Linked DNA regions of Oryctolagus cuniculus. The protein of the gene in region 1 binds, or shares a complex with, the protein of each later gene. Links are inferred from orthologs where the notes say so. Each region holds a gene or a part of one and is shown on either strand. Other genes may lie near its edges.

Region 1 (4,353 bases):
GGCCCTGCAGTTCATAACCGACTATATATAGTTCCTCCCTTTGGGACTGCTGCTTTGCCCAAGTCATTAGGACTTCCAGAGTGTAAATAAGGTGCCCTGAGGCTTCAAAAGGAACACTCGCCCACCACTGATGAACTCTGAATACCTGCCTTTCGGCTGCTTTCAAAAACCAATCCCACTTTCAATGGACAGATTTCTCAAATAGGAGGAATGCAAGAGACAGCAGAATGTAGTGGGCTGTGTCTACTATGTGGGACCTCGGACAAACGACATACTCTTTCTAGGTTTCAGTTCCTTCGTCTATAAAATGGGGATGTTTACAGCCATTCCTACTTCGTAGGTCCTTATGAGGATTGAATGAGCGAATACATAGAAAAAGGCACTGCAAGAGCCAGCGCTGTGGCATAGTGGGTAAAGTCGCTGTCTACAGTGCCAGCATCCCATATGGGCGCCAGTTTGAGTCCCGGCTGCTTCATTTCCAATCCAGCTCTCTGCTATGGCCTGGGAAAGCAGTAGAAGATGGCCCAAGTCCTTGGACCCCTGCACCCATATGGGAGACCTGGAAGAAGCTCCTGGCTTTGGATCGTCGCTGCTCCGGTCATTGCGGCCAACTGGGGAGTGAACCATCGGATGGAAGACCTCTCTCTCCCTCTCCTTCTCTCTGTGTGTAACTCTTTAAAATAAATACATACATCTTAAAAAAAAAAAAAAAGGCACCGCACCAGGTACATAAATGCTCAACACAGTACATGGTAGCTACTATTCCGGTGGACTTGTCACAGGCCCCAAGGTCAGCTCCAGGCAAAGTCCAGAAGGTTGGCACAGGCACCGGGGCCCAGGTTGAGAACTACGTCCCAGGCCCGCACGGGTGTGAGGACCTAAGCACAAACTGCCCAAGCGTCAGGAAAAAGCACCCACTCACCCATCATCCTGGTCTCCCCGGCCTGCTCTTTCCTGTCAAGGCTGAGGCGATGCGTTACTAAGGGAGACCTGACGAGACCTGACAACTTTCCTGACGGGGTGTGAGGGCGGTCCACTGGAAGCAGGAAGGATGGAGTCCCCGACTCTCCAGCTACCTGTCCGGTCCTCTCTGATGTGCGGACACAACTCCCGCCTCCGACCTGGTCCGTGTCCAGTCCTCAAGCCGGCGTCTGAGGTAGAGTTGCTCGGGAGACGGCGCGCCGCGCGTGGGCGGGTCCAGCCTGAGGGGGCGTGGCTAAGCGAGGCCCCGCCCTCCGGGCGCCGCCGGGCTCCAGCCTCGAGCGACGCACCGTTCTGACGCACTGCGTCTCCACAGCCAATCGGGAAGCGCAGAGTCGGTTCAAATAAAGACGGCGGGTGGACATGGGGTTCGCGAATCTTTCGGGCAGGTGATCGATCTGCGTCTTGTGTTAAAGATGTGGAGGGTGAAGAAACTGAACCTCGGCCTGTCGCCTTCGCCTCAGCCGGTGAGCGGGAGGGTCTGGAGGAGAGAGCGCTGGGCCGGGGTATGGGGGCGAGGGGACCGGCAGTGCCAAGGTTCCCGGGAAACTGGGTCGAGTTGGGGGCGGGGGGCCCGAGGAGTCTTTTTGTGGCTACGGCTCGATAGGAGTGGGACCCTTACTCTTCTTTTTGACTCAAGGGCTTCTCCAGAAGGAAGGAGGCCGGGCTGGCAGAACCCGAGCTTCCTCACACTCACTGACTTCTCACGTTCCTTCTCAGGGGAAACCAGCTATGAGGACTCCTCTCCGAGAGCTCATGCTGCAGCCCAGTCCCCTCAGCAACTCTGGAAAAATGTCGCCTGCGTGCTCCTCGCTGACCCCATCGCTGTGCAAGCTGGGGCTGCAGGTGAGATTCGCCTGGACAGCTTCTCGCCTGGGCTGTTTGCCCAGGCCGAGAGCTCAGAGGAGCAGAGGGCCGGGGCTGGAACGTAATTAATAACGATAATGAAGTCTTCTACCTCAGTGACTTCTATTTACAGCTATTCAGGCCAACTGAGAGGTGCCCTCGGGTAGTTAAAAGGAAATCCACCGAGAACCTGAATCTCCATTTAGCTGGTAGCTGGGAGTTTTTATTACCTCCTTTCCCATTCGACCTTTATCAAACTGTTGGGATATACTAGCACTCTGATTGGTGGTCTCCCTCTAACATGGCTTAGGTATGAAGAGGTCTATTTGCTACAAGAATGAGCTGTCTCCTTCCACTCCAGGAGGTGGCCAAGTCTCTTGGGATCAAATTACATCAATGGAAGATAGGGTGCTTGGACTCCCTAGCTTATCCCTTGCAGACTGCCCTCAGTGAGTTGTACTTTTGTCAAAGATCTTGAAAGATGTAGCCATGTACAAACTGCTCTTCATTTGTTGTAAAAACTTGCCAAGGAAGCCAAATGACCCTTCTAGAAGGTTCCTAAAAGAAATATTTTTGATTTATTACCTGGGAAAATTATCTTCCTAAAGAAATTGCTATCCTTTTTGTAATGAGAACTGTGACTTTGCCATATTTTTCCTCTTTCTCTGGCTTCCAGAAAGCTTAGGGTCAAATTTGATGATTAGTGCCAGTTACTTTTTTTTTTTTTTTTTAAGATTTATTTTTTTGGGGGCCAGCACTGTGGCATAGGTTAAGCATCCACCTGCAGCACCAATATCCCATATGGATGCCAGTTAAAGACCTGGCTGCTTCATTTCCGATCCAGCTCCCTGCTAATGGCTTGGGAAAGTGCTTGGGCTCCTGCATCTACATAGGAGACCCCTAAGACGCTTCTGGCTCCTGGCTTTGGATCATTCCAGCTCTGGCCATTATGACCATTTGGGGAGTAAACCAGCAGATGAAAGGCCTCTCTCTGTGTTTCTCCCTCTCTCTATCTGTAACTCTGCCTCTCAGACAGAACTTGGGGGTGGGGGGAGGAGAGAGAGAGAGAGAGCAAGCAAGTGACCTTCCATCTGCTGGTTCACTCTCTAAATGGCTGCAAGAACTGGGACTGGGCCAGACTGAAGCCAGGAATTCCAACCTGGTCTCACACATGGGTGTCAGGGGCCCAAGTAATTAGGCCTGGTGCACTAGCATGGAACTGGATCAAATGTGGAGCAGCCAAGACTCAAACTGCACTCCAGTGTGGGTTGCCAGCATCACAAGCAGTGGCTTAACCTGCACCACAGTGCCAGTTCCTTTCCATTTTCATATGCTGACTCAGATCTTTCTTTACCTTAGAGAAATTTTATTCTAATATTTGTTTTAAACTTTTAAAAAGATTTATTTATTTATTTGAAAAGCAGCATTAACACAGAGAGAGAGAGAGATCTTCCAGCCACTGGTTCACTCCTCAAGTGGCCTCAATGGCTGGAGCTAGCCCTATCAGAAGCCAGGAGCCGGGAGCATCTCCTGGGTATTCTACGTATGTGCAGGGGCCCAAGTTCTTAGGCCATCTTCTACTGCTTTCCCAGGTACATTAACAGGGAGCTGGATTGGAAGTGGAACTGCTAGGACTCAAACCAGTGTCCATATAACATGCCAGCACTGCAGACAGCGGCTTTACCCTCTATACCACAGCGCTGACCCCTTAAATTTTTTTTTATTTAAATTTTTTATTTATTTATGTGAAAGGCAGAGATAGTGACAGAGATCTACCAACCACTGGTTTACTCTCCAAATGCCTGCATCTGCTATGGGTGAGCCAGGATGAACCTAGGAGCGCAGAATCTAGGTCTTCCACATGGGTGGCAGGGACCTAAGTACTGACTCCCAGGCTGCACATTGGCAGGGAGCTGTAATCAGAAGCAAAATCAGGATTCAAACCCAGGCACTCTGAGGTGGGATTCAGGCATCTCAACTGGCATTTTAATACCTACACCCTAACATTTGTTAATCAGTACCTCATCTGTATTATGTTCTCTTTTCTTCTGGAATTTCTTTTATTCAAATGTTAGGTTTCCTGGGTTTATCTTCCATTTTTCCTAGCTTTTCCCTCAGATTTATGTTTTCTTTGTCCTTTATCTTTCCTTTTTTTTTTTTTTTTTTTTTTTTTAAGGCTTATTTATTTATTTGAAAGGCAGAGTTACAGAGAGGCAGAGGCAGAGAGAGAAAGAGAGGTCTTCCATCTGCTGGTTCACTCCCCAAATGGCTGCAATGGCCGGAGCTGGGCCAATTCGAAGCCAGGAGCCAGGAGCTGCTTCTGGTTCTCCCATGTGGGTGGCAGAGGCCCAAGCACTTGGACCGTCTTCTGCTTTCCCAGGCTATAGCAGAGAGTTGGATCGGAAGTAGAGCAGCTGGTACACGAACTGGCACCAATATGGGATGCCGGCACTATAGGCGGCAGCCTTATCTGCTATGCCACAGCGTCGGCCCCTTTCCAATTCATTTTACTGAGATTTTTTTCTT
Region 2 (4,620 bases), on another chromosome or scaffold:
GACTGCTAAATTCAAAGCAGCCACATTTGTTCTCACCGTGCTTGCCTTTTCCACCATTCCCTCCCTCCTGTGCCCCTTGCCACCAGGAGGCCTTCCTGGTGTCTGGGATACCACTCTGTTTTCATTTTCTTCTCACCTCTCTGGCACCTCTTTATCAAGTTTCTTGGCAGGCACCTTTTTTTATCACTGCAAATTCTAAATGCAGGTGTCCCTGTCCTTGGCCCCAGGGCTCCTGCTACATTTATTCTTGATGGTGGTCTGTCGTTACCCATCAAAATGAACCTGGGCTGCTCCCCCCTGGGCAGCTAATTCAGCAGAGACCAGAGTCAAGATTCGACACAAGGGAAAAGTGTATTATGAGTAGCCGGAAGAGGAAGAGTGGGTCTCCTGGTGCCAGATATGCTCTTCCTAGTAAGCAAGTCAGCAGGACTTCTGAGGGGAGACGGCAGTTGAGAGAGGGTGGGAAGACAGTGAGTCTGGGACTGACTCTCAGGCAGGTTTTCATGGTCCTTTCCAATGGTCATCCCGGTGCTAGCTAAGTAGAGCTGCTTTGGTGTGAAGCTTGGCTGCTTACAGCTAGTGGGCTGTGTCTCCCTTATCTGAGGCATGATGCCTGCCATTCTGGCCACTTCCTTGCGGTTCGCTCCTGACACTCTTAGGCACACATTATTTATCGATTTGTACATTCTGATTAAGTCACAGGGCTAGTAGTTAGTTTTTGCTAAAGTTCACGGAATGGAGGATATAATCATTACTGCTGTGATTTCTTCAAATCCATATGCATACTAACAACAACCAGATTCCCCTTTGTACACAGGCACTTCTAGAAGTTCAGGGACAGACATTGCAGCACAGTGGGTTTAGCCACAGCTTGGGACACACATCCCATTTTGGAGTTCCAGTTCAAGTCCTGGCTCCCCTGCCTTTTTTTTTTTTTTTTTTTTTTAATTTATTTATTTGAAAGGCAGAGAGTTACAGAGAGGCAGGGAGAGAGAGATAGAGAGAGAGATCTTCCATCCACTGGGTCACTGTCCAAATGGCCACAACAGCTGGAGCTGGGCTGATCAGAAGCCAGGAGCCAGGAGTTTTGGAGTGCAAGGGCTCAAGCACTTGGGCCATCTTTTGCTGCTTTTTCCAGGCCATTAACAGGGAGCTGGTCCCCACCCAAACAGCATCTTAAGACTGTTGTGTGAAACATCTGCCCTGACTCATCAACTTAAACCAGGTTTCCCCACTTTTCTGTCTCATAGCGTCTTGTAATTTTCCTTCAGTTACCACAATTGGCAAATTACTTGCGTGATTTTTTTTTTTTTTTTTTTGACAGGCAGAGTGGACAGTGAGAGAGAGAGACAGAGAGAGAAAGGTCTTCCTTTTGCCGTTGGTTCACCCTCCAATGGCCGCCGCTGCAGCCGGCGCACCGCGCTGATCCTGGCAGGAGCCAGGAGCCAGGTGCTTTTCCTGGTCTCCCATGGGGTGCAGGGCCCAAGCACCTGGGCCATCCTCCACTGCACTCCCTGGCCATAGCAGAGAGCTGGCCTGGAAGAGGGGCAACCGGGACAGAATCCGGCGCCCCAACCGGGACTAGAACCCGGTGTGCCGGCGCCGCAAGGTGGAGGATTAGCCTATTGAGCCACGGCGCCGGCTACTTGCGTGATTTTTTAAAAAAATATTTACTCTCCGTTTCCTAGAATATAAACTCCATGAAGGTAGAGCCAAGGTCAGTCTTGTAATTTGTTCTCGCTCACCCCGACCCACCCTCTTAGAGTGAGTGCTCTGTGAATATTTATTGAATGAAATGAGTACAAGTACTAAATGACTGACAACTCTGCCCGGTCTATTAGGAACAGCTGTGGATCTTTAAAATATGGGTAAGTGCTATTTAAGTCGGACAGGCAGGTAGGTGCCTCAGGCACCTAAGCACACAGGCACAGGTGGCCGCCATCTTCAGCCTTACCTGTTACTCCGCACCCTGTAGTGCGCAGTTCTCATATAAATAATCTCCGCTCCTGACAGCATCCCCAGCCATGACAGACTAAATAAAGAGGATTATGACACTGACTCTAAACGCGGCCACGTTTGCGTCCCCAGGCTGGAATATGACGCCGGCGGCTCATTAGCTCCAATCAGGTACGCGAAGTGCGGCTCACTATCTGGCCGCCGGCCTCCGCTCGGTCTTTCCGTACAGCATGGCAGCCCCCAGAGCGGCGGCCTCCGACAGGGCCTTCCGTACAACAGGGCCACCTCCGGAACGCGAGCCGCGCCCCTTCCCTCCCAGCTACCGGAAGTTGCCCTTTGAAACCGAGGCGGCGGGCTCAGCCGGCGGCGCGGCGGTTGCTGCTGAGCGTCTTTTGAACCAGAGCAACAAGGACTGCGGGCGGGAGCGGCGGGCGCCTGGGTTCGACTTTTCCGGGACGAGGGAGAGGGCTGGATGTGAGGGCGGGCGGGCAGGGCTGCGAGTGGAGGGTTTGCTCTTCCCCGACGCCGGGCCCGCGACCATTCGGTCGCCGTGGCCGAGCGCTGGGTAACGTTCGTCTTGCTCCTTCCAGGGCCCAGCCGTGCAGCCTGCTTACGATGACCAGCGTGGTTAAGACGGTGTACAGCCTGCAGCCCCCCTTGCTGAGCGGCGGCTTGCCCGCAGGTGGGTGTCGCCCTGCGGACCCGCCGTGGGTGTGGCGGGGAACGAGATGCGGGCATCCCGTGGGCTCTGAAGACCTGCTGGGCCCCCTAGAACCAGGCTGTCCAGGTTTTTGATGGCAGTTAGGATTTTTTAGTCCTGGCCGGAACCCTTCCTGTCTGCACCACGCCGACCGTTCCGTTCTCGCTGTGGGTTGTATAATACGATGACCGTTAAGCTAGGGACCCCTTTTTAGACGGTGGTCCGTTTTATTTCCAGACTCGGCTACCTGGCGGAACCTTGTGGTCAGGCAGGAATGTAGGGGCAGTGAGATGCTGGGGAGGGGAGTCGTGGGATTGCTGGTTCACCTTGTGTCTGCACAGGGGCTCTCTCATAAGCACGATCAATAACCTTTGAGTGAAGGCGGGGGTGTGTGTGTCAAGCCTAGCCAGAGGGTTTGAGACCTGGGAGGAGAGAGAATGGCTGTTAGCTGCTTTGCCATCTTGCTTTGCTTGTGCTTGGAAGTCATCTCCGGGGGTTAGCGGTCCTGGGACAGCCTCATGGGGAGATGATGGCATGGAGTTAGCTCTCGACAGGAGAAAACTGTCGTGTGCGTGCCGTTATGGCGCATCTGTTTATGGCCCCTTCCAAGAATTCTCTGCAGCTGGCTGATGTGCTAGGGGACAGTTAATCTTCAAGGTAAATAGGCTTTTCTCTGGAGGCTGAAAGGGTTTTTTTGTGTGTGTTACCTCAGAACACCTGAGGAGTGGCATTCTTGGCATTGGCAGGGACTGGGCGTGGCGGGAGGAACTGGCCCCAGGTCTCCACAGCGCCTCTGTTCCCTGCAGGTGCAGTGCCCCTGGCTCAGCACCAGTGACTGCCTCTCCCTGCCTCCTTGCAAGCTTTCTGCAACTGCGGTAGATGAACAGTTTTAGGCTGTCACTAGGTTTTCTGTCTTGACTTAGAGCATAAGTTGGTTGTTTTTTAAGGTGGTTTTTTTTTTTTTTTTTTTTTTTTTGACAGGCAGAGTTAGAGAGAGACAGAGAAAGGTCTTCCTTTTTCCGTTGGTTCACCCCCCAAATGGCTGCTACAGCCAGCGCACTGCGCCCATCCGAAGCCAGAAGCCAGGTGCTTCCTCCTGGTCTCCCATGCGGGTGCAGGGCCCAAGCACTTGGGCCATCCCCCACTGCCTTCCCGGGCCACAGCAGAGAGCTGGACTGGAAGAGGAACAACCAGGACAGAATCCGGCGCCCCAGCCGGAACTAGAACCCGGGGTGCTGGCGCCGCAGGCAGAGGATTAGCCTAGTGAGCCGCGGCTCCGGCCCAGTTTTTATGAATGATTTATTTATTTATTTGAAAGGCAGAGTAGCAGAGAGGCAGAGAGAGAGAAATCTTCCATCTGCTGGTTTGCTGGCCAGTCCGAAGCCAAGAGCCAGGAGCTTCTTCCAGGTCTCCCACACGAATGCAGGGTCCCAAGGACTTGGGGCATCTTCTACTACTTTCCCAGGCCATAGCAGAGAGCTGGGTTGGAAGTGGAGCAGTGGAGTCTCAAACCAGTGCCCATATGGGATGCCAGCACTACAGGCAGTGGCCACAGCGCCGGCCCCTGCTTTTTAAGTTTTTTTTAATAGGTAGTATATGCATATTAAAAAAAAAAAGTTAGGAAATGATAGTGAAAAGCAAGTTTCCTTCCCTCAATTGACAAGAGCTGGTTTTCCTCCCTGTCTCCCCTTTTAAGAGACAGTGTTTGTTACATCCTACCACATTGTTCCTACAAAGCAAACCATGGTTTCTGACAAATGTGGGTTAATAGAATCAATTCCAGTCAATGAAGTGTGAATTTTTATCAGTTTACCATTAACTCTGTTTTACATGAGGTCTATTTGTTATTATATATACCTTGATACTTATGGTAGAAGAAGATAAATATATTACCCCAGAGTTTCCTTTTACTTCAGACACCTTAAAAAAAAACATGTAATATTTGCTTTTGTTAAGAGTAATGA

The links.
Region 2: SPAG5 (region 1) and KNSTRN share a complex: the UniProt entries of both Homo sapiens proteins name them as parts of the astrin (SPAG5)-kinastrin (SKAP) complex. The link is inferred for Oryctolagus cuniculus from reciprocal best matches to the Homo sapiens genes SPAG5 and KNSTRN.

Annotation. Positions count from the first base shown.
Region 1 is NC_091448.1:44,103,944-44,108,296, reverse strand, and holds the start of SPAG5 (sperm-associated antigen 5), read left to right. Parts: upstream 1-1,255; 5' UTR 1,256-1,397; coding exon 1,398-1,448; intron 1,449-1,701; coding exon 1,702-1,827; intron 1,828-4,353. UniProt on the Homo sapiens protein: Essential component of the mitotic spindle required for normal chromosome segregation and progression into anaphase. Required for chromosome alignment, normal timing of sister chromatid segregation, and maintenance of spindle pole architecture.
Region 2 is NC_091443.1:63,564,610-63,569,229, forward strand, and holds the start of KNSTRN (small kinetochore-associated protein), read left to right. Parts: upstream 1-1,776; 5' UTR 1,777-2,186; coding exon 2,187-2,395; intron 2,396-2,546; coding exon 2,547-2,638; intron 2,639-4,620. UniProt on the Homo sapiens protein: Essential component of the mitotic spindle required for faithful chromosome segregation and progression into anaphase.